Linked DNA regions of Neodiprion lecontei. The protein of the gene in region 3 interacts with the protein of the main gene of each other region in a biochemical or structural test. Links are inferred from orthologs where the notes say so. Each region holds a gene or a part of one and is shown on either strand. Other genes may lie near its edges.

The links.
Region 1: the proteins of calmodulin (region 3) and myosin heavy chain 95F form a complex in vitro, tested with the Drosophila melanogaster proteins (2 studies listed by BioGRID). The link is inferred for Neodiprion lecontei from reciprocal best matches to the Drosophila melanogaster genes Cam and jar.
Region 2: the proteins of calmodulin (region 3) and neither inactivation nor afterpotential protein C interact in a test that uses a peptide from one of them, tested with the Drosophila melanogaster proteins (2 studies listed by BioGRID, with this or other methods). The link is inferred for Neodiprion lecontei from reciprocal best matches to the Drosophila melanogaster genes Cam and ninaC.
Region 4: the proteins of calmodulin (region 3) and GTP-binding protein Rit2 interact in a test that uses a peptide from one of them, tested with the Drosophila melanogaster proteins (2 studies listed by BioGRID, with this or other methods). The link is inferred for Neodiprion lecontei from reciprocal best matches to the Drosophila melanogaster genes Cam and Ric.

Annotation. Positions count from the first base shown.
Region 1 is NC_060260.1:6,605,467-6,612,568, reverse strand, and holds the start of myosin heavy chain 95F, read left to right. Parts: upstream 1-2,891; 5' UTR 2,892-3,017; coding exon 3,018-3,043; intron 3,044-4,436; coding exon 4,437-4,627; intron 4,628-4,857; coding exon 4,858-4,931; intron 4,932-5,018; coding exon 5,019-5,148; intron 5,149-5,210; coding exon 5,211-5,375; intron 5,376-5,468; coding exon 5,469-5,881; intron 5,882-6,243; coding exon 6,244-6,503; intron 6,504-6,574; coding exon 6,575-6,732; intron 6,733-6,822; coding exon 6,823-6,987; intron 6,988-7,062; coding exon 7,063-7,102. UniProt on the Drosophila melanogaster protein: Myosin is a protein that binds to actin and has ATPase activity that is activated by actin. Together CLIP-190 and jar may coordinate the interaction between the actin and microtubule cytoskeleton.
Region 2 is NC_060261.1:32,100,248-32,107,334, forward strand, and holds the start of neither inactivation nor afterpotential protein C, read right to left. Parts: upstream 3,793-7,087; 5' UTR 3,747-3,792; intron 1-3,746. UniProt on the Drosophila melanogaster protein: Required for photoreceptor cell function. The ninaC proteins combines putative serine/threonine-protein kinase and myosin activities. Essential for the expression and stability of the rtp protein in the photoreceptors.
Region 3 is NC_060263.1:23,725,464-23,735,527, forward strand, and holds calmodulin, read right to left. Parts: upstream 7,078-10,064; 5' UTR 6,780-7,077; coding exon 6,777-6,779; intron 3,064-6,776; coding exon 2,889-3,063; intron 2,754-2,888; coding exon 2,511-2,753; intron 1,949-2,510; coding exon 1,920-1,948; 3' UTR 1,279-1,919; downstream 1-1,278. UniProt on the Drosophila melanogaster protein: Calmodulin mediates the control of a large number of enzymes, ion channels and other proteins by Ca(2+). Among the enzymes to be stimulated by the calmodulin-Ca(2+) complex are a number of protein kinases and phosphatases.
Region 4 is NC_060262.1:22,203,134-22,210,906, forward strand, and holds GTP-binding protein Rit2, read left to right. Parts: upstream 1-3,078; 5' UTR 3,079-3,497; coding exon 3,498-3,648; intron 3,649-3,716; coding exon 3,717-3,773; intron 3,774-3,834; coding exon 3,835-3,908; intron 3,909-3,996; coding exon 3,997-4,188; intron 4,189-4,296; coding exon 4,297-4,533; 3' UTR 4,534-5,885; downstream 5,886-7,773. Other genes in the region: spatacsin, read right to left, coding at 1-79, 142-495, 641-807, 888-1,160; bis(5'-nucleosyl)-tetraphosphatase [asymmetrical], read right to left, coding at 5,924-6,240, 6,330-6,441.

The DNA.
Region 1 (7,102 bases), on a different chromosome or scaffold from region 3:
GACATTAAAACTATAATCCTGAATTATTGCACTCGTTACAACAGTCCTTAAAACTCCTCCGTGTCCCAAACTGCAACGCGTGAAGTGGAAACCAGGTCCAGAATTCGATCTTTACTCCTACACATGTGACCGTCTATTTGACGTATTTCCCCGAGGTCACGACCAGCGGCAATTCCGTCTCTTCTCACTTTCTAACACGTTTAACATACGACGTAATCGCAGCGTGTCATGAGTCATCGGAGTGATAATAAAATCCGTTCACGTGTATATACAAGACGTAGACGAGTGAATGGTCGAGAAACAGACCGCTCCACGATCAGCTGTTCGATTCGTAGCGCGCGTGGGTTTAACTGTAAAAAAAAGTGCGGGCGCTCCGTGACCGAGCGGACAATCGCGACAGGATATTTTTTATTATATATAACTGTAGAAATGACGAGGGCAGACATTACTGTCGCAATAAACCGAGGATGATTACGAGATAAGTTCTCCTCCTCCTTCTCTACTCCGCGGGTCGACGAAGTGCTCGAGGTGTGACCATAAACCGCGTCCACCAAAGTCAGCACTCTTGCCGTCGTTGCACACGGCGTGGTTTCCTCCTCCGGTACCTTCTTTTCGGTCCCACGTTTTTTCGCCATGGTCAACGAACCCTTTCCGACTACCAGACGCGGCGATCTCGATCCGTCGAATCCGTTGCCCTCGCGGACTCGTGATTCTTGACCTTTTCACGTTCACGTTCACGTTCACGGAAGTTCTTTCGAATGTAATTCACGCCACTCGCACTGCCCGGGTCAACTCAACGTCGAAAGCACCTCCGGCTGGCTGTTGACACCACGAAAAACGCACTCGCGGTCAGCCATCCGTGTCTCCCAAGTTCCTGTGGCCCCCTGTCTGACCATTCGCTTTTAACCCATTGTACTATTCACTACCGTAGGACAATACGTACGTAGGCATTATCCGCATTTCCTGCCACAGGAAATCGACGTTCCGGTAGGAAATATCCGCCCGTCACTCCGATATTGAACAGCCCACGCCTTTCGCCGACGTATCGATCTTCGGATCTAAGGGAGCTTTCGTGAATAGAACTCAACCTTTCCGAAGAATCGAGTCTTGTGAGTCCCTCTTAGCTTATCGATGATTACGACTTGTACAGAAATTACCAAATGAAACTATCGCCACTTCTTGACTGCAACGTGATAGTATATGTATATATATGTATACGCGGTATTGCGAAGCTCGAGTTCTTGAGGCGATTTCAGCCGGCCTGAGCGGCGTACATGTGCATTCTAGATGCTCCGTTATAATCATAATTGAGCTAATCTCCCTAACGGCCGGTCGCAAGCAGCAACGTAGTGGATATTTACTGTTGGACTCTTTTCGAACCGGTTTTATACCCGCCTTGGTCGCATCTATCGGTCTCCGTCGAAACGTTTCGTTTTGACAGATAGTAACCCGTTTGAAACTGCAGACGAGAATAACGCTCCCTGTTTCTGGTATTCGAAGGAATATTCCAGACACGCAGTCATTCGGAGCTTCTTATCAAAACATTATCCGACGCCAAGATACCGCAGCGTTCGCCGTTTACATCATCGACCACCAGATACGTATATTTCTGGCATTTTGAATATCCGCATGACTGAAATACGTATAGAACATCCGTTTTTGACTGAAGATTTTTCGTGTTTATACGTGTACGTGGAAACCCTCGATATTTGAACTGTTAAATCACATTTTACCAAGTTCCATTTCTGCAGTTTAGCAGTTTCACTTTTTTTTTATTAAATTGCCATTGGTGCGGTACGTTACGTAACGTCAACAAATGTCAGCGCGATATTTTCTGACCTGAATTCGATAATGTCAAGCGTTCTATTCGTAACTTTGTATTCGAGATGTTGAGAAATTTATAACTCGTTGGAGATTCACTTTGTCCGTGAATTCTAGTGATTCGATAATTTGCGAGTACCTGGTTAAAAAACATTTGTTGCAAATTCCATCTGACCTGCAGGTAAAACTGAAAAATTTTTCCTTCTAAGAAAAGAAGACAGATTCGTACATAAAATTAATATCGCGCTGAATACTAAAACGTTATCGCCGACTGACTTTACGAATTTATTGGCAAAGCGAAATATCCATGTTCCGCAGCAGTCAACGACCGCTAATACGAGTCTAGGCAATAATTTGACGCAATAGCTTGGCAAGCATTCGATGAAACGGTGAAATAATTCCAGCGAATAATGTCAGCCGTGGTTTATTTACTGCCTAGGTCTTTAAATCGAGTTACGTGAATATGAATTGATCAGGGAAAAGTTAAGATATTCCGTTATTAAAATCTATCGCAGTAATCTCACTGCAGGACACTTCGTTTGCTGTTTATTGGGACTGAAATATCAGCGTGAGATTCGTTTATAAATAAATATCTGTTTTTAAGTAATCATATATTATACCTATTGAAGGTCGGTGTTATCGAAATTACTGTCGAATCACATTGAGTACTTGTCAAAAATGAAAGATAATATTGAAACAGCGTCGTCGAAACCTCTGCGGTTTCTAATCTCATCGTGCCTTCTATATTACTTCATCCCTATTATAAATAAAACAGCGCGATATCACAGCCAGTAAAGATCAAGCCTCAAAATACCCGCGGAATTGTTTTTTGACCTGAAAAATTTGCCATTTCGTGTTTTTCTCACTTTAGCGATTCGTCATTACCGATGGATTGGACAATGAGACTCGCGATCGTGTTTTCTTTGTTGCGAAAAATTGAACGATCATTCTGCAAGCATTACGGGCTCTTTGGGACCGCCGACCGGTTGCTGAGCAGCCACTTTGATAATGCGATAATAAGATAAGCGGCTCGCGTTATCCGAATATCGCTTCAATTGTTCTCACTCTGCGGTAGCAAGGCGACGCCCGTCGACTAGTTTGAAGTGCTTTTCAGTTTGCTGCAGGTCGTGATTGTGTCAAATACTCGAGTGTTCCAAGTTTCCTGTTTCGGAGCTAAAACGCGGAGGTTGAAAAAAATGCCTCCGAAAAATTCGGCCGTCAAGTAAGCTAACAATTTTTTCCCCCGTAATAACACTATCCCTAATTTGACTGTAAATTACCAATTTCTCGAAGTCTCGATTTTGCAGACTGTAATTAACACCTGAGAATAATTTCTCGTCTTATTGTTTCTAACGGCTTAACCGTTAAGTAAGAAAAGTCCAAGTAGTACGCTTAATGGTGACAGCGAATTGAATATTGATAAAAAAAAAAAGTTTAGAACAAAGTTTACGCCAATCAGAAAAGACCAGCTACTGTAACGATGATAAATTAGGAAAGCGTAAAGAGCGAGGATTGGCATTAAGAAACAAAGTGAAAACACGGTGTAATATTATGTTGACAAACCGATGGGTCACGCGACCGTAAAATACAATTATCCGATCCGTTCGCCGGCAACGAGTGAAAGTAATTACGCACAATTATCAAAAGAATTGCGAGGAATAAAAAATAAAAAACAAGGCAAAATTTTAAATATTAAAATCAGGGTCTGACGGTCCTCTGACGTGTGCCGTTATATCGACGTTGAAGCAGCACTAGTGCTAAACTTTTACTCGGTCGATAGTACTTATAGCGCTCCGTCTTCATGCACGTATGCTTGTTTGCGAGTGTAAGCTGGAAAAGAAGGACAGCAACCCAGATATATAAGGAAATTACTTTATCGTGTGTCGGAGCATATTTGTCATAGGTTTTCCGCCACGTTGTAACGTTGGGATATTTTGCGAAAAGAATCTTGTGACTTGCATTATAATCGATGTATCGATTGCTGCCAATTAACGGTATTAAGCATTCTTTGATAGACTGATAATTGTGATACCGTCGATAATTAATTGCTGGTTGTGAGTTCGATAGCGACATTAGTGAGAGAGTTATCCTGAAGAGGTTCGTAAGCAAACAAGGAGAAAACGGGATCGAGAAACGGCGAGATAAGGGTGCTTTTAGAATCAGGTTTCAAGGCCTATAAGCTCAATACCCAGTAAAGTAAGCATCTTGATTAGGCTTCGATCTCATCGCGTTATATTGCGATAGATATAATAGATCGAAGTAAAGTTATTTTCGAACTCAGCCTGAAGCAGAGAAGCTCGCTGATTAGGAAAGACGAAGGTATAAAACCGCGTCGTCGAAGGCACATAGGTACATACACAATGAAATCCAGGTCAATCCCGATAATGGAATACCCAGATCTAACGGATGGCCATTGAATTTCACCGGCTATATTTAGACGGAGATTATAACACAACACTCGCGCACGTAAATGTCGAGAATCACATGACTCGCTTTTATACCGCCTTTCTTATCATTCATCAGCGATGACAGATACCCTCGTGTCCTTGCCACGCGAGGAATCTGTTCTAGAAAAGCGTAGAAGGTCTCTTGTAAAAGGATTCGTCTATCTTTAGCTCGGGAGGGATGGAGAACCAGCAGGTATGGGTCAGGGACCCACAGGAGGGTTTCATCATCGGCAAATTTGTCGACATGGTCGATGGTGACGCTCTGATAAAGCCTCTGGACGCCAAGCTTCCCCAACGGACATGTCCTTTGGACGAGGTTTACCCGGCTGGCGAGTACACAGCGGACGTGGAGGACAACTGTAAGTGTCAATTCAAGTACATTGACGATGCACGTTTAGGAAAATCGTTACTTCGCAGCCTTGGGATTGTCTGAAATTCAGTTATTAAATCATGAGAAAGAAAACATGTTCATATTTTGAAAAGCCAACTCTATGAAAGTGGTTCCAAAATTGTACAACGATTGATTCCATCATGTTTCGTCACGTTAACGTTACTGACTTCGACGTGGTTTAATATGACCGTTGTTTAGGTGCTCTGATGTATCTGAACGAGGCAACACTGTTGAACAATATCCGCACGAGATACTTCAAGGACAAGATATACGTGAGTTTTAAATATTGTTTAACAATCAGTTTTCTGTAATAGTTCGGTACAGTTTTTTGAAACCGTCGAATATTCACTCTGTTTCAGTCCTACGTCGCCAATATTCTCATCGCCGTTAATCCCTACTACGAAATGAAAGATCTTTACTCCACAAAGACATTGAGATCTTACCAGGGAAAATCCCTGGGTGAAACTCCACCCCACGTTTTTGCAATCGGTAAGATTTATCGTCGACTATTTTCCCGAAGGGTTTTCACAGGTACCCTGCTCTGTTTGCAGCTGACAAAGCCTTTCGGGACATGAAAGTCCTGAAACAATCTCAGAGCATCATAGTGTCCGGTGAATCTGGAGCGGGAAAAACTGAATCCACCAAATACTTGCTCCGCTATTTGTGTGACCTTTGGGGTTCCACCGCGGGACCTATTGAACAGAAAATTCTTGACGGTGAGTGGCGAGCTACGTACCGTGAAAACAGTCATTTCTACCCTTATTCGATCAGAGTTACAACCCAATCCTGTTCATCCTCTTCATGAACAGCAAACCCGGTGTTGGAGGCGTTTGGAAACGCGAAGACTAAGCGGAACAACAATAGTTCTCGTTTCGGTAAATTCATGGAGGTTCACTTCGACGCCAAGTGTCAGGTCGTGGGTGGTTACATATCTCACTATCTACTAGAGAAGTCACGAGTCTGTCTGCAGAGTTCGGACGAGAGAAACTACCACGTCTTTTACATGATGTGCGCCGGAGCGCCGGCTGACCTCAGAGCGAAACTCGGCATCACTAAGCCTGACGATTTTCAATATCTGAAGAATGGTTGCGGCCAGTACTTCTGCAGCTCCGCTTCGGAGAAGAAATTGAACAACGCTCAGAAGAGCAAGGACCAGATCAGTAAGGGCAGTCTCAGGGATCCGATACTCGACGACGTTGAGGGATTCACCGCAATGGACCAGGTATACATTTTTTCTTAGATTTTATCAACAGCGCCATCGATCTCACATTTGGCAAGAGCTTGCAAGAGCTTGCAAGTCTCCTAGCACCGATTTACTGGTTCCCTTTTCATCGGCACTTTGAGAATCATACATCACCACTAACATGTTCTTGTTGTTTTAAAACGCTGGATATGGATTTTGTCTCGTCAAATAGGAGAGAGCAACGGTAACGAACGACTTCCGTCACTCCGTAGGTCTTAGACGACTAGCGAGTTTAGTGGATGGAAATTTTTTCTAGAAAAAGTAGGAATCCTGGAGGCGCTCAACATTTCCAATCGGTGCTGAGTCTTTTACTCTGTCTTTTATTGTTTCCCTGAAACCAGGCTTTGACGCGACTGGGTTTGACGGACGTTGAACGGATGGAAATCTACACGATGGTGGCGGCCGTTCTTCACCTCGGCAATATCACATTCGAGGACAATCCGGAGGATACGAAAGGCGGTTCGAGGATTACAGCAGACTCTGAAAAGTCCGTAGTAACCACAGCCACTCTACTCGGCGTCGACGCTGACGAATTGAGGCAGGCTCTGGTCTCAAAAGTGATGCAAACCAGCCGCGGCGGCATCAAGGGAACGGTTATCATGTGAGCATTGATGATTCTGCTTCTTTAATGTGTCTAGGTGGTTTATCAATAACCTTGCGGACTTTTCCAAGGGTGCCACTGAAGGTCTACGAGGCATGCAGCGGGCGCGACGCGCTTGCTAAAGCGATTTACAGCAAACTATTCGACCACATTGTCTCGCGCATAAACAAGAGCATTCCATTCAAGGCTTCCAGCTACTACATTGGTGTACTCGACATTGCCGGGTTTGGTGAGTTCTCTTATTCGACGCTTCGTAGCCCTACGATGCAGCAATGGGTCGTTTTCATTGTTGAGAACAATGTATTTTGCAAATTTTCAGAGTACTTCCGAGTCAACAGCTTCGAACAATTTTGCATAAATTACTGCAATGAGAAGCTTCAGCAATTTTTTAACGAAAAAATTCTCAAGTACGAACAGGATCTCTATGCCAGAGAGGCGCTCAACGTACCAAAGATTTCCTACGTAGACAATCAGGATTGCATAGGTGAGCTCACTGTCAGGAACTGACATGAGTTAGCCACCATCTGTTTTGCGATTATGCTCATCTTGCACATTTCAGATCTTATCGAATCGAAGAACGGTGGAATATTCAGTCTACT
Region 2 (7,087 bases), on a different chromosome or scaffold from region 3:
CACCCAGTGTGTATATATTATACGTCCGTGTGTACCGCGTATTTCTTTATTCTTAGCGGGGGTCTGCCCGATGTCGGAGTTACCGAAGAAAATTACACACGCTCCAGTAGCAGGAGGAACAGCTCCGGGAATACTTGAACGACGTGACCCTCGCGTCGCGCGTCGGCAGAATTGTCCCTCAAAGCATTATAAGCATCGCGCAGGAAGAAGCACCGCGGCTCTCAAAGCGAGTGTTAATTATTTCCGATTTCACCCCGATATTACGCAGACACTTAATAACTAATTAGTCACTAGTCGGTCGCCTGGGACGCCATCGACAAGAGTCGAAACGACAAATCCCCCCCGAGCTCTCGTCATTTTTCATCCCGAATCAGATCCCGTCGAGACAGCGCCGATGCCATACGGTTATGAGCCCTTGTGAGGCCTCGTAAGTCACTCCCTAGATCCGTTTAGTAGCTAGTTCTCGTTACGCAAGGCAAACTAGAGTCAGAGAAGTACGAGGGAAAATGAACAACAGAGAAAGGGAAACACAAGGTACAGGGAATTTCGATTTGCAAAGTCGACATGCGCAACACCCTGCAAGCTCACCCACTTGCTTACTTACAATTAGATATTGACCGAAAATCTGTTCACCGGTTCGTGCGACTCGTCTCAGCATTTATCGCGCTTCTCGTTAAACATGCCCCCAGCATTCACGTAATTCCCTAATTGGATCCCGTTAAAATTTCAAACATCACCGTTCTCCCTTCGCTCATGCGCGATCGACCTTACGTGCGTTTTGCTCTCCGTTTCGTTGATTACACATTTCTAATCAAGGCGATTTTATATTTCGAATAAACAGCCGAGAGCGTTATACGTTATAACCGTAAAAATTCACAATTCGGCAATTATTCAGCTCGACTTTTCGATGCATGAATTAATCGAGCAACGTTTTCGACGCGAAAGATCAAAATATAGAAATGTACAGAAAAATCGTGCAGTCATATTTGTAATATTATTGAAAAATATTATTTCTTTGTGACCTGCAATTCGAAATTCGGATTTGAGACACCGAGATTAATCGTTCGGATAAATAAAGTCACCGAATAGGTAACTGGTGAAAATCTATGTTAGAAATGACTCACAGACGCGGTGTTGAAAAATCATTCGCGCACCGACATTTGTTCTTTTTCGAAGAAACGTGTCTTTGCCTCGCGCGCAGATATGCGGAGCGATGAAGTTTGAATTTTCTGCTATCCTGCGCGGGGTTCAGAGAAGGAGGACGAGGAGGAGGAGCTGCTGTGGTCTCGGTGACGAGGGAGCGACGAGGGGGGTTGTTGGCGGTGACGGGTCTGTCGCTTGGTTCGATTACATCTTGCAAAAAGTCGCATTACACGCGACACGGGTTGCGAATAAATCGACGGATTATGCCAATAAGTCGCGAACCCGGGGAATAAATGAATTGGCTGATGATTCGCCTTCGAACTGTTTTACCGAGTTCGCGGTTACATCCGAGGAATTTAACGCCTCAATGAATTTTTCACCTCGAAACCTGTCCTCGTACCTCTTCACCGGAATCGCGTCCGATCCCTCATCTATATTCATTCTGAATCCTGATCTTTTTTAGTTTCGTGCGATTATGCAGAGGTACCCACATCGACACTTTAAGGATGATCCTTACTTGTTATCTCATAACCGATGCGGAAATCAATCTGTTATCGAAAAACTTCTGTGAAGCTTCAAAATTATTTCAAAAAATTAAAATACAGAGTACGATTCTCATTCTGTAATCGTTTTTTTCAGCTGAAAATTAACAACAGACGGAGAATACTTTTCCTTGAACTGGACATTTTTTCAACACGCCAAAGTTTTAGCTCAGCGATATTTGACGAGACGGATGAAGTAAAAATTATTGAAAAACCGACCAAGGTAGAGAAAAATGTATAACGTATATACTTATATATCGACGAGTAAACAATTAGTTGGCGTAAAAATAGTTTATACCCGGTGATAATTATTTCCTATAAAATATTTTCTACCCGTCCGAGAGTGGTCCGATGAAAAACAACTAATTTGATTATGTTTTCATTGCGATGCAGGGAGTGCACGCGGCCGTTTACCGCGGTATGCATTATACAGTATATAGTTTAATCAGTCCCGGGAATCTCCGGACGACTTGGACGATCGTTCTGTGAAGTTCGCACGTCTTAGTTTTTTGAGTTTCTCGGTACACCGCAACGCAGACACCGTTCCTCCCGGTCTCTTTCTTCCCTCCCCGCGTCCTCTTTCAGCCTTTTCTTCACTCCTGCTGGCCACAGATCGATACAGGGAACCATCGATACGTCAAACTTGGTCGGCTATGGGTGAGCAAAACAAGCAGGAACACGTGTTCTGGCACCTCGCGACGCGCGTCGAGGAACGCGATATCTCGTACCTTATACCTCTCTAGGGAGACACGAACAGAGAGAGAAATACGCCGCAAAGAGACGCAAAGAAAGACAAAGAGAGAGAGAAGAAGAGTGACGGCGCCGTTAATTATTGTACTAACAACCGAGATCACGGGGACGATATAGTTTAAAAAGAAGTTTTTTTTCCACATATTTGCGAAGAAAAACGTGTTCATTGGACAGGATTAGTCTATAACCTTTGGGCGGGGGTCAAAGTCCCGAAAGACCAAAAATTCGACTGGTCAACAAGCCGAAATTTTCGAGATAAGAATTTTAAAACAACGAATTATCAGCGTACCGAAGTTGGGATTTTCGATAAATCACCCAGTAGCATAACTGTTTTCCCAAAAGTTCATTTAACCGAACGCTCTCTTATCCAAAAAAGTATTTTCCGAACAGTCGGTATTCCGAATGAACAAAGCACAGAATGTTGAGATACAGACAAATAAAAGTTCCCAAATTAACATTTGAGAGCGGCTGATACTTTGAACAGACGCAGAACCGAAAATATTACTTGTCGGCAATCAAAGTTCAGAAGGAGCAAAATTACGATCCGCAAAATGTAGAAGGGCCAGAAAGTCGAAGGGCCGTAACAAGGTTGTTATAGTTGTGCAGACTTATGCTAGATGGCACTAGACAATGTTCATCGGATACGTGCGGCGTTGCAAAGAATAATTATATGTGTTTCTGATTCATCCAACTTTTCGACATTTTGGCCATTCTGTCTTTAGCGGGTTTCGGGATTCCGATCTTTCGAGTCTGGTCAGTCATTATTGATAAATTCAAATTCGCAGAATTTTGACAAAGGCACGGGTCTGACATTTGAAAAGTCGTCTTCTTGACTCTGGTATTTTCGCAATTTAATATTTTGCTCTTCGTAGTGGCCATTCTCAAAAAAATCGATATTAATTTATTTATACATGATTGCATTCTCAATTCTTATTTTTCTACAAGTCATCGTCTCGTATTTATGGTCTTTCTACGTTTTCAACTGTCGGTAGTTTGACTTTCGAGATTTCGTCCCGTCGACTTTTTGGTCTTTCACAATTTTGTACCCCACCCTATCCTTTGTTCCGTTTCATGCCATGCACAGCATCGCACACGTTTTCAACATCATTCAGCTATCCCGCGGTGTTTAGTACAAAGTTTTTTTCTTTCACAATGATAAAAACGAAACGTATAATATCTGAAAAAGAAATGAAACGGAAATGCACAGACTCGGGTGGATTTCGCAACGGAGATGAAAAAATGGGAGAGAGACGGAGGTTGTACGGTATGTATAAGAAGAAGTGCCCTTAAATTTCCGAGGACGAAACTCACCTCTAATTAAGACGTCTGGCAGACTGGCAGGTTGCAGGCCCCGCGGCGTCCGCGGCGTCCACCCTCGCAATGCGGCCGCCCCGACGCCCGGCGTTCCCTACGCCGGCTTGGCTTCCATGATCCAATAAGGCGGACCTAATTAACTAACAGCTAACTCACAAGCCTGTTAGCTCATTGATTTCACTCTCTTTCTCCCAAGCTCCTTTCCCTTGAAACATTTAACCATTTTCGACTTTTGCATTCCCCCGCGCAGCTAGGCCGGCGGATTCCCTCGCAATTTCGCAGACCTTTCAACCGATCCTTTTAATTTTCCATTATCTGATAAATTTTCAATGCCATTAGCCAAATGTTTATCCAATCATTTTTCTGAACCTATTTCTTTATTGTTCGTCCCTGTTTTGGTCGCCGTCAATAACCGACGCCGTAATATACGAACGGTTTTTTGAGACACCGGTTATAGACTGTTAATTTCCTCACGATGAGTGAAACAGACCATCTTGCACGAGAAATCACACAATAATTGTTTCGATCTACTGCTTCATATTTTTACTGTTAAATTATAAATACTGTGCGGAGTGTTGAGTACCTACTGCAGAAACTGACTTCATTTCGTTTACAATCACTTGAAAATTATAAAAAAAAATCAACGTGAATTCTGGACGTGAAGTAAGCATATATGCCGGAAATTTAACAATCTTTTGTCAATTCCTACTCCGCTACGGTCTTCTGGAAAACGCGAAAAATGAAAAAATTAATAAGCAGCGAAGCGTGTGAAAGCGGTGTATATTAGCCGACTTTGCCCGGCCATAGCCTAACCTACCCTGCACGGACGACCTCGTTTGCCGAGAGGGTAATCGGCTTAAAAGCGATCTAACAGTAAGCAAAAATGTACAGTCGTACGTGCCTGTAAATGCGTACGAAGTCCTGGGTAATTACCTCGGTGTACCGAGTCTCCTTACTTAGAACCGTGCGCGACGAAGGCTGTCTTGACTCCCGGTAGAAAGGCCTGCCAGGGACTTCTTGCATCGGCAGTGGAAGAGCAGAGTCGGATTGATGTTCTAGCACGCAAACGCACCGACTCATATTCGACGTTTCGTCAGAAACAGGACTGAATTATAATCCCGATGTCCGGAGGTTGAGAAGTTTCCTGCATGGCCGACGCACGAAGTAAACGAGAAGACACTCGGGGCAAAAACAGGCCCAATTAATCTTGCAGCTAGTTATTTGATTCGCTTGCCGAAGGACTTCTCGCGTCCGTCGAGTCTGCATTGACGTGCCTGCCGTCTCGGTAATATTAGTCTCAATAAATTAACGTGTTTTACTGTAAACTCGCATCTCTCGCTATTCGCATTAACCTCCACGCTGCAGGTAAGGAGGCGACTCTTTTGCGACGAGCTAAGCCTCGTCAAAGGTACCGACAAGATACAGGGATGAGGCTCGAAGCTTTATACTCGCGGTTTTTTATCCACACTTCTTCCTCCTTCCCACTTTTCTGCGTCATCGTTTTATACCAAAGTTTCTTCTACCCTCTCCGTCTACGATATTCTCGTATTCCCTCCCACGAGGCATTCATCATCCTTTCAAATTTACATTTTCCTACCCGGGCCGAAAACCATCGGGCTTAGGCACGTTGTATTCCAACGTTCCAGCGTTCCCATTCGCCTACGTAACACTGGAATACCATCCGGTATTTATTTTCTCATACAAAATCAATAAGGGGTTGCGGTTTGACGAGGGCCATTGAGAGAGTGTACGTATACGTACCGTGCGTACGCGATTCCTACGTATCTCGGCGAGGCTGTGCGCAACTACAAGACGTATCACTGATCGTACGATAAACCGTGTACTGGTCACACTTCGATTATAAGCGGCGCGAATCAAAGGCATCGGAAATATAAAGCTCAGGTTAATGAATAAACATTATGGAAGACCATCTCGCATCTTGCATCTCGCATCTCGGATCTCGGATCCATCGTATCTCGTGAATCGGCGATCGATCGATCTTGCCCACGCTGTGTGTGCCTTCCTACCATAGGTATACCAACGTCGAGCTCGGTGAGGAGCAAGTTTTATCAACGATCGCTGGATGCAGGTTAAGACTCGAGAGATATATTAGTCTTTCTTAAATTTTCATAAAACAACATTTGGAATTTGTGCCGGTGAATACCTTCTATATCAATAAAAATTTCAATAATCATTCTGTGAAATATGTCGAGTGTCGCTGGTTCTACGTTTTATGGAATGCGAGAAAGTTTACTTTCGCTGTCGACTGAAACCTGCTAGTTTTGTGAAAGAAAACGATGGAGCTAAAAGACGTCGATACACTTCATAGAAATGTATTTACCCGAACATAAAGGGTGTTTATCGGTCCCGTTGCATTTCCGGTAGACCGAGCTTACGAAGTGCTTTTGAATCCAGGGAAGCGTAGTTAACATGGTGATTATGACTAGATCAGGACGGAATAAGTGCTTGAAAATAGTCGAAGAGGCTTACTGCCTGTCGCTTACAGAAACGAATGAGGATCCTGGAAAAGACTTGAATGGGTAAAAGCCGGGGATTCAGTCAGCCAGGGGTGTTTTGATTGAGGTTGCATTTGAGGAGATTAGAGAAAAGAGCTGAGGCCAGAAGTTCACTAGCAGTTTTATAAAGGAACTCTTTTTATTATTGTACGTTTCAGTATACAGTCGTGCCTTTCGCGTAGTATTTATTATGGCTAATAATACTGCAGAGTAGAAGAGGTGTTACAATTTATTTGATTTGACGTTGTATATAATGATATATAATATATGTACGAACATATACATATACGTGTATGTTTAAATATTAAATAAACTTATAATAAATAAATTAATTAAACTCTTATGAGCTAGAAATTGTTTATATTATTTAATACTATCTTACAGTTATCAATGTTATTATTATTATTATTGTTTTTGTTGTTGTTGTTGTTTTTGTTATTTTTATTATTATAAACGGCACAGTAATTATTGCCTAGGCTTCTCACCGGCAACTGTCAATTGCCTTTTTATTACATATTCATATATGCATATTCACCTACCTATAATTATAGCCACGTTTATTTTACATTTTTTTAACTCAATACTGTAAACGCCTATCTTATGCAATTCATACAACCCTTAAAAATTACTTAACTACATCATTATTTGTGTCAGTCTGGTCATTTTCACCGGTTAGGTACGTATATATAATAATATATAAGCTTCCTAAGTGATAAATTACATTTTCAAATTCTATAATAAAATTCTTTAATATTTCTAATGACAAATCTTATCTTCGACGAAGGAGAAATGGGCGGCTCGTTTTTTCTACAACGTTATCGG
Region 3 (10,064 bases):
ATAGTCTATGTTATTCCCAAGAATGTAAGGAAGACGTGGGTTCAAATTCTCTCTGAGAACACAGCGGGTCCATCTGTTTCTAGTTTTTCACATAGAATGCCTTTTTTACAGTACATAATTCTGCTATAAATGCATCTAAACAATGGTTTGAATATACTAACAGTGGATGTTAATAAGTTTTTCTCACACGTACATTTTAAAGTATATCAATCTGCAATAATGGCATCAATGCTTCTTATTTGTAATAAAACCTGGACGCCATTCTAAATACTGTACAAATTATACTATACAGTGATACGCCTGGCGTCTGGATATACATTTTCATGACTCAGCAAGCCATGTCATAATTGATCAATGCGTGATGGAGATTGATTGAAACACAATACGGTTATTCGTCTATTATTTTAGATCTTTCTTCGTAAAGGATTATCAAGATAAAAAAAAAAAAAGTGGTAGCTACAGTTTTCAAAGGATGCAAGGAATTCCAAAAGGAAATGACAATTTTGTGACCTAAAAATGAGGATACATTTATTTTGTCTTTTATAATCAATGCAACCTAGGTCACCAAATACATTATTAAATAAAGACTGTGGAGGAATTTTAATTTAATATATAATATATATTACATGTATTATGACTGATCCGATGGTCTTATATCGGCGTTGGTTAAGTAACATTAAGACGTGTGATGGCTCCAGCCAACCAGTCTGTTTTGCACCATTAACCGTGCAATAGTCAAACTAGTGCCAGAAAGTGCACCGATCGATAGTTCGAAAAGTGGTGCTGATGTTGTGCAGTGCAGTCCTCATTTTGAGGAGAAGTGTGTCGTGTTCGTTTGTTTGTCTACAAACATGTCAAATGTTGGTCATGTCAGGTTTAATCGAGTGAGGGCGTTATTCATACAGTCCGGGATGAGAAGGAATGTTAACAGGGTCAGTCAGACACGATCCCTGTGTGTCCCCACTTCCTTTTACTTTACGTGGTGATCATTATGGTATTAAAAATTAAATAAATATAAATATATATATTTATTTATGTACATATGTATGCATATACACATATGCATATATAAATAATATATCTTTATATTTGTTTTTGTTTGTTTTGTTGTTTTTTTTTTTTTTTGAAAAAATCAAGCATTAATTAATATTTCGTTTGTTGGTTATCTTTTCTTGTTTTTGTTATGTTACGTTACGTTTTCTCACATATTAATGTATAAATTAAAAGTATAAACCAATACTATTTTAAATTACTATTAACCTATTGATGGGTTGATACATTCCTCTGTCACATTGAGCCGAGTATCATGCCACGAAGTATTATTTAACACGGACATTTTTTGTAATTTTTTTTTTTTACATATCAGAATGTGATTCCGTTATAGGAGTTATAATTTATAATACTACGATACATAAATTCCAGATAATGTTCAAATAATGTTCCTTTTTTCTTCTCTCTTTTTAACTTTTTTCCCATTAAACACGGACATGTAGAATTAAAACAAGATACGAAGGGTAGTTTCAGAGTTATTATTAATTCAAACACAATACTTGAATATATTTCTTAAAAAATTACACAAACTTTGAACAAAATTTGATGATTATCGCAAATGTTCTATAGTACTTTACTTATTACTTGTAAATTACATCAAACTTTATTCAAAGGTCTACTCCAACTTTTCATGATACTGTTAAATATTTCCAATTCACGATGTATTAAGACTGGAAAGCAGAAATGCAGTTTCAATATTTATACTTTAAGATTTTGTTGCCGACGATGAAGATGGTTGGTATTAATTATCTTTATTACTTATTATTATAGTATTATGTTAAGTGTTGATGATAGCTTTATATTCTGGTATTCACTTCATTATCAACACCACTCCTAGTTGTGAATTATTCCCAAACATGCGTTTGCATTCACTTTGATGTCATCATTGTGACGAATTCTGTAAAACATAAAAAAACAAAGAACAGAAATAAATACGTATATTTAATTACAAACTTTCGCATTATTTCACGCAAGTTAATTGAGTCATTAAACAATCAAAATGTAGATAAACTACAGGAAGTTGTCTATCTAAATTCTAGTGCAATATTAACACTCATAAATAATTATATTTGATCGTGCTTGAATGTTTGTAGAAGATATTTGACGAACATGTCAAGCAATTCCACGTGTAGTATTACACTTTCATTCACGAAATAATTGTGGACACAGCATATCAAAGGTTAGATAAATATTAGCAAAGCTACTCTTATAACGCATGTGGGTTCTGTGGTAGAAAAGAAGAACACTGAATGAATTACATTTGTCTCTGCCAGAACGGTCTTTTCAAATGTCTTATATCCAGACAAGTGGATCATTAAACATTAATGTCTGAACCATTTCAAAATTTGGACGAAAAGATAGATTATCTCATGTATTTTCTAAGTTCGGTAATTTTCACGACATAAACCTGAGGTGAAACCAAAAACAAGCGGAAAGAAAATAGTTTGAAGACTATTTACCTTCGTAATTGACTTGCCCGTCACCGTCGATGTCAGCTTCTCTTATCATCTCATCAACTTCTTCATCTGTTAACTTTTCACCAAGATTTGTCATCACATGTCTCAACTCGGCGGCTGAGATAAAACCGTTACCATCCTTATCGAATACCCTAAACGCCTCTCTGATCTCTTCCTCGCTGTCAGTGTCCTTCATCTTACGTGCCATCATCGTTAAGAATTCGGGGAAATCGATGGTTCCATTTCCTGAAATGATTTTCAAAGATGTAAAAAATAAAATAAGAATGAAGAATCTGGATTTTTATTGGACATGATATACACGGGGAATTATAAATGGAAATGAACAAAAAATCAATTCAATTAGCACTGAATAATACACACCATCAGCATCTACTTCATTGATCATGTCTTGCAATTCTGCTTCCGTTGGGTTTTGACCAAGTGATCGCATTACTGTACCCAATTCCTTGGTTGTTATCGTGCCATCGCCATCCTTGTCGAAGAGGGAAAACGCCTCTTTGAATTCTGCAATTTGCTCCTCTGTGAGTTGGTCAGCCTGTGTATAAAAGTTTTAATGTTTTTACATTCAATACATAGAGCCATGTCATAACATTTCTTTAAATTAAAGGGTGATTTAAGGGAATATATGATGCGGGAATACCTGACCATTTTAATGTGACCGTGACCTTTATCATTTCCAATTTCATTTTCCTGTTACTATGTTGTAGCTCGTATCATGGTCTTTGTAATAAAAAAAAAACCGTGTGCCCTTAATTGGTAACGGGCCTGTATTTAGTTTGGGAGATAAGAACAAATTCGAATAAAATAGAAAAAGGACTATAGTAGATCACAACAGGATTTGAACACAAACTGCAAAATTTCCATGTTGGAGATTTTTCTTCTGGCGACTTTTTTTTGCCCTTCCAACTTTTTGTTTGAAAGGGAACAAAATGAATCTGCTCATATCACCAAAATTAAATACATGCCCATCTTTCTTCAACACAGGCTGCAAAGTTAAGTCTCTCATGAAGAATTCACGGTGTAAATTTCAATAATATGAATTCCAAACTCACAATACTTTGGCCTTCAATTTTGCAAAATGTAAATCTATCACATCATTATTAGGTGAATGCAGAACTTGCAATAAAGAAAGAACCAATGGGAACGAATAGATCTCGATATTCCATAGAAAAAATGTCATTACTGAAATCATTTGTGAAACATCAAATGATTCTATGTTTGTTTGAAAAAAATGTCTGTTACAACTATTTAGATTTCCTAGTTCAAGTAGCATCTGCTCTGGTTCCGAGTCAGAGAGTTGATTATTCCAAAGTCCGGACATTAGTATCATTATGCTTCAAAAACTTAATCAGAGTCGTGATAAAATTGATTTATCAAAGAATTCTTTCAGTAAATGTCATTCGTTACAGATATTCGCTTTTGCAATGAGTTGCCATTAGAATCGTGATCTGATGCATGGAAATTGAGTCTTGGGATGTTTTGTCCTTACCACTAATCATTGCAATAAAATTTTATAGATATGAAATAACATTTATATGACCTCATAAATACAGGGCAATAATTGTGCTTTAAATACGGTACAAGTGTAAGTAAGAACTTATCAATATAATGCTGAAAAAAAAAAAAAAATAAAAACCGGGCATATGTTTATTACTACCTCAGTTGGACTCAGGTCTAAGAATATCACAATGTGCAAGAAGAAAATTAGAAGAATTCTGCATAAAATTTAATCCTACAATTTCTGAGTAAATGAAATGTATCTTCTGAGTCACTGTACACCACTAATGACGTTGCAGGCTATAAGTTTATAATAAATTCATGTGGGAGTTTTGATGCAGTTGTACATAAAAATCAAGAATTATACGTATTATACGTATGGACGAGAGTTCTCTACATTTATGTGAACTGTTTTAATATGCAAAATACTTCTTGACCACATCCGATATAAACTCAGTGACCAATAAATGACCATAACAATAACTTACAATTAGTTTCATTCATGCATATTGCAGTTTGCTAGATCAGCAGCATTAAAAATCGCTAAAATGAAAATGTCTAAGATAAATATCTTTGATCGCAGACACGTTTCAATAGTATTCCTGGTAATCACTGGTAGTATTACAACAGTCACGCCTCAAAGATAAAATAAATATGTCAGACTGTTATTTATTGATTAATCGCATTAGGCTCAACTGATTGAAGGATAGATTTTATAAATTATCAGATAAACCAAATAGTAGTCCCAAAAATTGCCAAGTGTCAGTGATAATGATTTAAACCAGATTTTGATAAGCAAATTTTTACACTATCCAGCAGCATGCAATAACCTGGTTAAATAAAATACTGCTACCAGTGAACAATTTTGTTTTTTGTTTTTTTTTTTCGACCTTTCACATTCAGCAATAAACACGCTTTCTATAGCAGTTGGTACAGCCTGTGCCAGAACCTAAGCAATCAATTAGATCATCGCTTTAGACGTATTTTATAATTCATTTTAATTAATAAGTATAAGTTAATATTAAAGTAAAGAAAGTTATTTTCACCACCAAGCAAGTAAAGCCCGAAAATTTATCTTCTTAATCTGATTTTAAGAAACATATGCGTCTATGTTATTTTCTTGTTAACGATTTTTAGTCTTATCTGTACTTTGCCCAATGTATTTTAAATGAAACTATCACATCAAGTGAAGGCAAAAAAAAAAAAAAATCAATAAACGCGTCGGAGAAAATCGGACAAAATCTTTGTACGAATACACATGTATAAATTATATTTATAGACGTACCATATCGCGATCTTGTTAAAACCTTTCGGCTTAGGGTATTCGGTGATAACGAAATGAAAAAAATAACCTCACTACTCTTCACAAATCGAAGGTTCGAACGGTTCTGCCGTTTGCGGCAAAACGCTGCAGGTGAACCGAACAACGTCGCACAGTGGCAGGTTCGCGAATTCTCGGGGTGGCGCCGGCCAACGGGTCGAGGGTTGGGAGGGGAGGGGTTAGAGGGGGTGGGGGAGGGGCAGGAAGGAGAAGAGGTGGCAGCCAGGGACCAGGAAGCAGCGAGAAGGGGGTTGGGGGGAGGGAGGAGAGGGACAGAAGCACGGCGGGACCGGAGGGAGAAAGAGAGACAGAAGAGGACATGACAGAGCTGTACTGAGCAACTACGAAAATCAATAGCGGGTGTATAAGGCCGCCATAAAGGCTGCCATACTATTTACCGGCCTTTATATGGAGCATCGTGCGCAAGCTTGTATTCATTTATTTGTTTATTTAATCGTTTACTCCGATGATCGTAGAATCCAGTGAACATGGAAATATGAATGATGTTCTATTTACAGGTATATTATGCACGAGTGAGCACGAATAGGTGGAAATTTTGTGACTAACATAATTTCCGCTTACACGTGGGTAACGTATGTGTATAAATATAGGCTTCTCGATAAATGATACGAAATGAGAAAACGGAATTCGAAGAAATTTAGGACGGTAGAGATCAGATTAATGAAACAGTGTTCCCGGTGGTAGATTGTTAGAACCATGATACAAGTATCTCACCGTAGAATTGCGTCGATCGTCTAGAGCGGTAATAATTGTTATGATGTAATATATTGATGGTTATACGACTGAAAATTATCGTTTGGGCATCGGAATACGTGCATGTTGTAAAGCAACGTAACAGAACGTCGAGCAGGTAAATGAAAAATGGAGAAAAAGAATAGCGGGATTTAAAATTGGCATGATTCTTGCGAGGTAGGCGGAATTTTTTCCGGCATTCACAATTGCCGATGACGAGAGCACCTCGAGTCGCGACCCGGTAAGAACTGTCAACTGGTGAACCTTTAACGGTACAACGCCTTCATCAACACCAGAGTCCGGTGACAAATTGATTCTTTACAGTGTCTAGTAGATTGATCAGATCTACCGATATTTTGATAGACCACAAGTTACGTCGGATTCATTTCAATTAGAATGAGATTAATTATTAACGATAATTCTGTAGCTATATATTTATGTGTATATACATATGTGTATATATAAAATCGAGGCAAGCCTAGCGTACGATATAACGGAATAAAACGCAGTACATAATTCGGCTAGAATGTCGAATAGAGACAGATCTCGAGCAGCGAGCAATCGGCCGGATTCCATTACTATGTTGCGGGTAAAATCTGTGAAAGTTGTCGAAATTTCGATATTCCAATGATTGCGAATAGGTAAATGATATTGAATACGATTAATCGACAACTCACCATTGCAGATTCTCCTAGATATTACCGGCACACTACACAAACTCCACTACGAACCAGCGCCGCTGACACGAAATACACTTCGGACAATAATGGAAGAGAGGGTCTCTCAGTCGTCCAGGCAATACTGTGTTACTACGCCACGATAGCGATGTCGCACATAACTGTGAATAAAACTTGCGCGGTGTTTGAAAAAGTTTTTATAAATTAAATGAAAAAACTATAAAACACAGGAATAATAATTTATCATACATTTATTCACCGATGAACCATATATATCGAGGTCTGAGTTCGGATTAAGTTTCAGCCGCGCATGTGAGTAGGCTTTATAAGCGCTGGGTGCGGTCTTGTTTACAAGACTTCCTTGTCGACTCGTCTAACGTCCAAACTAAGCTCAATTCTGATTGGCTGCTACGCACCTGCAATGCGTCAACCACTAGAGCCTGTACAGTTTGCGAACGGGTCAGAGTGGTGCTGGCAGGGCTAGCTGGCTCTGGGGTTGCAGCGTGCGCTGCCGGGCTGCCTGCGTCCCTACATTTTCATCCCTCCTATCCTCCTGCGTCCTTCGTTCCTTCATTCCTCTCGGCCCTTTTCATCCTTCTGTTATATTTACGTACCCCGCCGGCATCTCGCCACCACCAACGCTGCCGCATATTATGCATTCAAATGTATACGATGTATAATTATTGTAAAATCCTCGCAGCTGAGAATTTTTAAACAATTTCTAAGTTGAATTTCATTCTTATTAGCCTGCAAGCCGTCTCGACAATAGAAAGTAAAGTTTTTCAAATGAGAATTAAAATTTTTCTTCATTATTTTGCATTCCATATTATCGCTTTATTTTTACCTGTTACAGTATGCGAATTTTTAGGTGCGAAAATATTTAGGTTGAAAGCGAGGAAATTTTGTTGCATAAAACGACGTAAATTCCTAATATGCAATATAATGGTTTGGGGTGAAATTTTCTTTGCGTCTATCGAGACGCGTTCAAACCGCATACCCAGTGCGCATTGGCTATGCGCAGGCGGGCGCGCAATGCGACACAGGACATAATCTCGTTAGAGATTCCTGAGAAGTGAGTTAAATCTTAAAACGATTATATTTATCAATGGTCTAGCGCACGAACATGCAGGCTTGACGATATTTATTATTGACTCTGAAAGCATTCTATAATTTAAACTATTATCTTGTCGTATGAAACGAAATAATCGCGAAATAGACGAGAAATCATATAACTGTAAAGAGCACATCGTCTGTAGTTGAGACCTTTTTATCTGTGCACTCGCAGTTTGGATATCTAGAATCGGAACGAATATATTATGTATGTAACTGAAAAAATTATTTGGTGCAAAATAAACATTGATATATCATTATTTTGAAACGTATCTAGGCTTGGAAAATACGTCAAAAATGCCAATGCATGATAATGTCTATTTTAATTATGAACACATTTTTCCTTGATCAATGTGCAGTACAAAACTAGAACTCACACGTTATATGCTTATACGCTCATATAATTCAGTATACATTTCCGATTACACGTGATAAAGTAATAATGATCCAGCATAATGACTGTGCTCAGAAGAAAACACGTCTGAGTGTATAAAAATTAGCGAACACCCACCCATTAGCCGTTTCATCTCATGTCTAATTTTCGTTATGAAAAGTCTATAATAATTATATACACGTGATAACGTTGACGTGTTGACTACCCACATGCACACGGTGATTATCTGCCGTGAATCATATGGGTATATACGTGTTTCTTTTCTGAAAGCCTGTTATGTAATTTTGAGTCACACTGTAGTCACACCGTTAAATGGAAGAGGTAACAAGGCGGGGACTACCTGCTGATAGAGATAAGCATGGGAGAAATTCGTTAGGGCGGATGACTAGTGTGGATTTTTATCAGATAACAGATAATCAGCGGAGATGCTGTCATTGCTATAATTGTGTAGTATTTCAAACACGATTATACACCGGTTGAAATATTGGGTTTTTAAGAAAAAGTGTAGGAATAATAGACGCCTGTTACTCATTTTATCTGTTTATAGTATAAAACATATAGCATGACGTAAAGCTTTCGTGTGTAAAATCCGTCAGCGTACCTAAAAGTAATCAATGTTTAGAGCCTAAACGGGGCATCGTGAATAACGACATAATCATAAATATCAATAATTTCATTCCACGCGATTTTCGATTCAGTTACACGTATATACCAGCTACCTGGCCTGATTATTGTAACTGTGTCATCGCAGGTATCAGCTGACGTCGCCCATCAACGCAGCGCGCACTGTACAGAGAACACGTACCTGTGATGTGTCTCTGAAATATTCGCGCGTTTATACACTTCGTGTAGAAAAACCTGTGAAAATCTACCTGGGATCGCATCGGATAATATTATCCAGCCTTATAAATTATTTACCTTATTCCTGTAAAGTAAGCCGCGTGCTTGTGCTCGGGTATGTATAACACGTACACGCCGCTACCAAAGCCGAAGGTAAAGATCAATGCTGGCCGACACATACATGGTAAAAATAAAAAAAGTAAATTCAGCGATAATGCTTGTTCCTAGGGGATAAGTGAACCAGATCTTCAACTGAATATTAACAACAACTGCAGGTCGGGACTATAAATATATGCTTCCGATCTGTACGTCCTTGAAAAAGTCAGGCTCGCTGCAGGTGATCATAAATACTGCCAGTTCGTTGAAAAGTTCGCGGAATAATTAATAATAATTGGTAGCCGGCTGTTGGGGTAGTTAATCAGTTAAATAAGGGTATGCGGCAACTCTTGACAGATAATGATTACCGGCACACAACGGTGCGAATATAAATTCCTACTCTTATTGCAAGCTCAAGCTTTGGAGGGATACGCGAAGGGCGTGCTACACAAATAAATGCTCGTTATTATACTGCGACTCCAAGGTCATCTGAACCGGCAACGTTACCGCAATTAATCTGCTTGATTAACTAAACGGCACAAACTTTTGTAACGTATTATATTTTTGAGCAGCCTTATCTCTGTGATCTGGAATACTTCTTTATTGTTGTACAGCGAGATTATAACCATAATCGCGTTCTTACATAAATACGTAGTACATGTACATACGAGTATATGTACGATAGCTATATATGTATAGCATGCACTCAAACGACAATACGTATCAGGAGAAATAATAAATCCTCGTTGTACCTTCAATAATTAAACTAATTCAAAAACGTACACTTTGAACTTGACGTCGTATGAATAAATAATCAACCCTGGCCCCACCAGCGAGATCCAGAATAA
Region 4 (7,773 bases), on a different chromosome or scaffold from region 3:
TGGAACTATTTTATTGTTTAATAATCTAGTCAGCACGTGTTTAACACTTACAGCTTCATTGGATGTGAAAACTCCATACCTGAAATTTGGAAATTGCATGTTAGACAGACAACAAAGTCTGCAGACACGTTTTACATATACCTGCCCAAGTAATCTAGGACTACTTCTTTGGTGATACTGGCAGCGCTTGACTGCTGAGTGGAGTCTATCACGTTGTCAGTAATTTTCAAATGCTTCAGTGCTTCATACAGCTCTTTGTCTTTAGATGAAGGATTCAATTGATGGACTCCATAGTTGATGTCAATCCAAAATAAAATCAGGTCAACTTTATTCCTCATTAATAGATAATCCCAAACAATTTGGCTCGACAAATACTCTACCAATTCTCCTTGGAATGTATGAAAGTATAAATCCGTACATATGATTATCTTCAAATCTTCTGGCATCTGGATAATCTCTTCAATTGACTTATTGGTTATAGGATCATCTTCCACGCTAGAATTAGAAAAAACTAACTTTCCTAATGTAAATCATGGTATATTTGATAAAATAAGTTAACTCAAAGCTTTTGCATTTATGCAACAAGTAGAGTTAGTAAAAGGAGAATTTTTGAGCCAATTTTCTTTTAAATCACACGTACAAATATTTGGCCTTATAGTCATTCATGATGTTAAAAAGCTGCCACGCTTTTAATTCTGATGCCTGGAGCCCGTCTATTTTCCTCAAATGTTGTACCAAGTAATCGCGCAGTTTCTGATCTCTGCTATTGATGCAAATGACGTTGATATATTCCTTGGGATTTTTTCCCTGTAGTATTAAAGAATAAGAATGATAGTGAGAAAATGATCAGCTTGATCAAAGATAGATGAGAGAGAACTAAAGCTCACCGCATTTTTTAGTATGTGGGTGGCTCTGAAGACTTGCTGTTTGTCAAGCAGCTCCTTTACCCAAACGTCGACCTCGCGATAAAAATAAGCTTCTGCCTCTGTAAGTGGGCAGTTTCTCCTTGTCGCAAGACATTTTATGGCCAAATTAATGTGCGTCCCTTTTGCCGATGCTTCTCTGACTATCTCACGGTCCCCCAGTATACGCCAACCTGACCAAACACCTGCCAATTCACCCGTTAGACACTCGACCGGAATACCGCCCACAGTATCCATTGTTCAAACACCATTTGATTAACGACAATCACAGGGATCGTGAGATAACAGGATGAGCTGTCAAACGGGGCAAAGTACTGCACGTGACAATAGTACAATCTAACCTAACCTTTCCTCCTTTCCTTTACATGAAAAAATACTTGCATATTTATCTTTCGTTCTGGGTAATCGATAACGTATTATAGATCAGGATTAAAAGTTTTTCAGATTTACTGACAGTTATTCTACTCGTTGACCGATCGACAATTGACAACTGGTGGCAGCCATCTTGATACAAATCCAAGCCTGGTAACATTTTTCATTTTACACTGGAAACAGCGAGAAGCCTGAAGACCTAGGAGCGTATTACATTTTTTCACTTTTCACATTTCCCACCATCGAAGAATTCTGATTTGTTGACTAAGCTTTGCAAAGTAGTATGATACACACGGAAAGTTTCAGATTAATTAGTTTTGTTGATGTCATTTTTTTAATTTTCAAAGTTTCCTCCCATGTGAATTTAAATTTATAAATTAGGATCGAATAGGGATGAAAATAATTTCCACGCTAAACTACGAATTTCATTTTACGATGTTGACGAAAATTTTTACGATTTAGTACAGAAATTCGAACGCGTGCGTAGTTTTGGCGTAGAATTCTTTTGTAGATCATTGTATGTACTTTTTCATAGATTTTCGTAGATTTTTTTAATCTGCTCTAAATCGTTGTCGTTTATTTTTCGTAATTTTCGTTAATTTTCTAAACTTTTTGGTCTTGATATTCGTAGAAAATCACAGTATTCCGTAGATTATTGTACTTTTTTATAAAATATTGTAATCTTTCGCAGATTATCGTAAAATGGTACAATTTTCTTTTAGTTTTAGCACTTGATATTCGTAGTTAATCGTAATTTTTCGTATTATAGAAAATTATGGTATGGCTCGCATTTACGTGATCGTTATTCGTATAGTTCAAATGGATATAATGTAAAATATATATTGTGAAAATTCTGATATAGAGAAATAACAAATGTTAATCTTTTCATTATTCATTCATTTGTTGAACTGACAGGTGGATTTCACGAAATAACTAAAATTTATTTCTCTATAGCAAGAATTCTACGATATTCTACAACACATTATATATCTATTTCAAGCTTTCATATAAGAAAAACGATCGTGTAAATGCGAACCGTTCTATAATCATTTATAATAAACAGCTATAATATACGAAAAAGTATAATATTTCACTAACGAATACGATAATCTACAAAAAATTCTAAGCTCAAACTACGCAGGTGTCCGAATTTCTCTGATTAATCGTAAAATCGGATTCATAGATAAAAGTAGAAATTATGTCTACCGGAGTACAATTGGATCGAATTGAAATTGCATTACAATTCAAACAGAAAAAAACTAGAAAGCGACTAAATACGTAGGTATGTATAATAATAGTATTAGTATTTCATTCTTGTTATTACATGTTGTTACATGTTATTATATTATGTTTTTAAGTGTTCAACATTACATTTCACTCTTCCTAATTCTTGGTTCTTCACTTGAATATACCCTGTTTTATACTATTACGATTCAATTGTTAAATGCAATTAATCACAACAATACAAAGATTAATTCATATTAATATTCTTATTATGCAATCAGTTTTCTTGTAAAATTCGGATTAGTGGCTATCCAAAAAATCTGTCTCTTTTTTTCGTTTGCGTGAGATATGCTTGAAATCTACACCATATAATCCACATTCCTGAGGTAAATATTTCCGTTTACGTTGAAACGACGCTCATCAGTCGAATTTATCTTAGCCCAGGCGATCAAACAGCCAGCACGCACATCTGTCGTGATTTAAAGACATACATACCTATGTATGTATGTATGCAATCACGCATTCGTGAAATGTGAAATGTATACACGCGATCGTAAAAGTGACATTTGTGTACAAGATGGCGGTTTTCGGGTCGACGCTACGCGTGCGTAATGATTTCAGGGTCGTCGAGAGCGGCTGTCGGAGTATGATTTTTAGTACATCCGTATTAAACGCGGTCGAGTGTGTTCGGTGAAGGTTTAATCGATGTTAAATATCAATCGAACGTTATAGCGGTCGGCCCACGGTGGCCGAATGATTACCCTCGTAACCAAATATGCACGAGAGGCGATTGGAAATCGATCACAGCTGCGTAATCCGCGAAACGTCACCAGCTATCCCCGATCATCCACCTGCTTTTCGTCCAGTTAATACCATTCTAGTATGTGAACACCGGGTCTCTGAGCCGAGAACCGGGTTATGATAACAGAATAACGCGGGCTCAGACTCATTCTGAGCCGACCTAACGACCCCATCGCTATGTCTGTCAATGAGCCACCCTCGGCCGATGACAACTTCGTCGTCGCCCCTCTAATCAACAGCATTCCCATACCCACTCAACCGACCACCAGAGGTGGTCTCAGGGTTTATAAAATTGTTGTACTGGGAGATGGCGGCGTTGGGAAATCAGGTAAGACGTCGATCGAGACGAGAGGCTAAACTTGCGTGACCATTAATACTACTGGTTTTTCGTTTCAGCTGTTACTCTGCAGTTTGTTAGCCACAGTTTCCTCGACTATCACGATCCCACTATAGGTGAGCTATAAGTACCCAAGTCGTTGGCGTAGCAAGGATCGTTTCATGTTAATGTTTTCAGAGGATTCGTACCAGCAGCAAGCAGTCATTGACGGAGAAGCCGCTTTACTGGATATCCTGGACACAGCTGGGCAGGTGAGTCCTCCACCTACTTTGCTACGAAGTAGATTTTCATCTAATGACAAATGTCCATTACTCATTGCACCACCTTCTCTCCTCTTAGGTTGAATTCACCGCTATGAGAGATCAGTATATGAGGTGCGGCGAAGGTTTTATGATCTGCTACTCAGTTACAGACCGACACAGCTTCCAGGAGGCGATCGAGTATCGTAAACTAATCTCCCGTGTTAGAGCCCAGGAAGACATTCCTCTGGTACTAGTGGGCAATAAATTTGACTTGCAGCACCAGCGCAAAGTGAGATTTGTTCGCTTTTCAGTCAACAACTTTCTTCGGTGATACTGAAATAACGTTATTTAAATCAGAAAGTGAATTGTTGAGACAGATTCTTGCTCTACTTTTTAGGTGACTACTGAGGAGGGTAAAGCACTTGCTAGGCAGTTGGGATGTCCTTTCTATGAGACATCTGCAGCTCTTAGGCACTTTGTGGATGATGCTTTTCACTCGCTAGTTAGACAAATTCGTGCTAAAGAAAGGCCGCAAGGAGCGAGTCGAAAGCACAGTCGCTGGTGGCGTCTCAGGTCTATATTTGCTTTTGTATTCCGCAGAAGACATCGGCACGCTGATCACTATTCACCCTAGTAATAGCATCTCTCAGTCGAAATTCGTGGCACTTTCTTCTCTGAGATGATGATAAGGGGAACAATAATTATTTGAGAATTGACTATAAACGACTCTTCCGAAGTTGTTTGATGACCATATTCAGGTCTTTCGTGAAGTATTTTTCAATAGGCAATGTCAATATACAAGACATAATTAATGTGTTTTTTCTCTTTGAGCAGAGAGACATATTCATGTGTAAAAGTAGTTTTCAACTCTAGTCATTTACAGAATATTACTATTCACTAGTCATTGGGTTGAAGATTTAAGTTTTTTTAAATTTTTTTCTAATTATTGTTTTTTAGATACAGAAACAAATACAATACACATACAGTATACTTGTATGCATACATATATTTATTAACTTCGTTTACACACATGTTTAATTACGTTAAATTCACAGTTTATTGTTATAGGTGTATGTATGTACAAATAACAGCAGAGTAAATATTATTAATCATTGAATTGGAGTATAACTCGTATTGAATACCTGTGCATGATTATCGTAATTTTAATTTCTCTAACACAGAAGAGCATGCTTAGTGGGTATATGTTTAATCTGCACAGTTTATTACTCGTAGGAGACACGAAAGATAAATAATTAAAAGCTTAATTTACCTATCAATATGAAGAAGCAATCAGACCCTTGAATCGTCGCCTGACAATAATCAAATTGAATAAATTAAGCATTACGGTAGAGATGAGTCTCTTATAGTTTTCGTATAAAAAATAGTAATAGATATGCTGTTATTGAGTGCTTGACTTATAAAGAGGAGCCACAAAATAAAGTTCAAGTTAAAAACATTAAATAATGTTGATATGCAGCTACGGTTTAAATATTATTTTTCTTACTGTTATTATTATTTATTATAAAAACACTGAAGATGTGATTTATATTTATACAAACAAATGATATATAATTATTATCGCGTACATAAAATGTATGTAAACACGTAAATTAGATAAGAATATGTTTACCATATTTGTTTACTGTATCGCTTAATTAAGTAATAAAAGAAAGGAAAACATGCACCTCTAGCTTCACTAGCAGAATATTATTTGTCAATAAAAGAATCATTCTCAATATAGTGTACCTCATGCAATTTATAAGTATACCCTATTTGAATACTGTATGTACCAACAATGATGTACGATATAAAAATTGAGCAGAAGAAAAATGAAGTATTTAAATAACCAAATTTTCCACGATTACAACTTGTAATATAACTCGTGGTTTTTGAGGAAAGAAAAATAAAATGTGTATAAAGATTTAAAGCTGACCATTCTGTCCGTCGAAATGTTAACTACAGTATGTATGAATATCGAAAGCAAAATAATGCGGAAAAAATTATTTATTTTTATATGTTAATTATTACAGTTCATTCTCTACGATATATCTGTCAAAGTATTTCAGGGTGTTTTGCATTTCTTCGTATCCCGCCAATCGACACGCATCTTGGAGACAAAGCCATCGGAATTCCTGATGCTCGGACGATAGTCTGGCGTCCTTATTTCTGTTTATCAGCTCGGCAAGCCAATAAATAACTGTTTTTGGTTTATCATTAACGTTGTAAACAAGCTCTTGTCTAGCGTTGTCAAATATTTTCAAATCCTCGCGCGACAAACCAGCCTCTTCTTCGGTCTCACGCAAGGCGGTTTGTAAATCTGTTTCACCAGGATCCACGTGACCTGCGATTGTCAATTGTCATGAATAAAAATTAACAGATTAGGAACAAACGCTTATTCCAAATCTTTTCATGAATATAATATCAAACAACCTTTCGGGGGAGTCCAGTGATGAATTCCGTACGATGTCTGCATCAATAAATACTCAACTTGTCCGAAAAACCTACGAAATATCACGAAACCGCAGGCTCGTGGCGGCGCCATCCCCGTGTTTCACTCACTGATATATAACTACACTATATATCAGTGGTTCCACTGTTTCTGAAAATTAGATTGCTTATACATGCACGTATGCATGCAAGCTTCACCGACTAAAAGAGGATTTTCCGTTCAGACCAGGTTTAAAGCTGCTTCCTGCTGGTCTATATCGCGTTTGTCAGTTTTCACTGGTGAAAAGAGAATGAGAATCACGCCACGGCGCTCATTAAAATAAAGTTCAAGTTACATTGATTATGGTTATGACCGACTGCAGCAGCGTCACGACTACACTGATCTCTATTATACAATAGGGATCAATGTGCGTACAGCGTGCGAATCATGCGAGACTACGGAACGGGAGGATACTACAGAGATTATTGGTAGGACTTAAATCTAAATCATCAGCGCGTTAATGAGACGTAGAAAATTGATTATCGGTTGTCAGGCGGATCGTCAAGCTGAGGTTTGAACTCGATCCGGAGACACCCGAGCAATATTTTCTGCAGTTTTGCATATCGAACATCTTCCATATAGGTTATAACGGGTTTGATTGTAATTACTATTATTGTTATTACACGATCCAGGATAATTCTGGGGATTGGAGTAGAGAATTGAATTTAATAAAAAAAAAAAAAACTTCTGAGTGATTCCTCACGGTACTTAAATCTGTTGATGTAAGAAATCACAATCATCGCAGCTAAATGATTGTACAAACATTATTCAACGAATGAGGAATACCAATAATTTATTCAATCAATTTGAATAGAACAATACGTTACATGCATCTTATGTTAACGTAAGCAGGAAATTTATTTTGCACTATTCAATAAATATAAATACCTAATACATCTTCGTGTGCATACAGTGTAAACAAGTATGTGAAGAATAGTTTTCAGATGTTTTGTTCTACAGGGTCATTTATCACAGTTTCACTAGTGTAATAAAAGTGCAAAAAAATTCTAAACCTTGTATTAATATTCTCCGCACTATTGTAGAGGTATACCTGAATTATTTAAGAAGTTCTGTCCACACTGTGCACGAATATTAAAATGAGACAGTTGAATTTTCAGGCATGGACTCTTATAAAAGACGCAACGAATATTGCGTTCTGAATTGAGAATAATTAGTTAAAAATAAGAAACTTAAACAAAGAGCTGTTGAAACTACTGAGAATATATGTAGGAATTTGCATAAGAAATTTGAATCTCTTCGTCAGCATCGTTTATGATTAATTAACACAAACACAAGCAAATGCGCAAGTGTGCTGGTTTCGCAGGGCGAAGTGTGGCTGGTGGAGAAGGCCGACTGCTCCTGGGACCGGTCGCCTGTTTCCCGCAG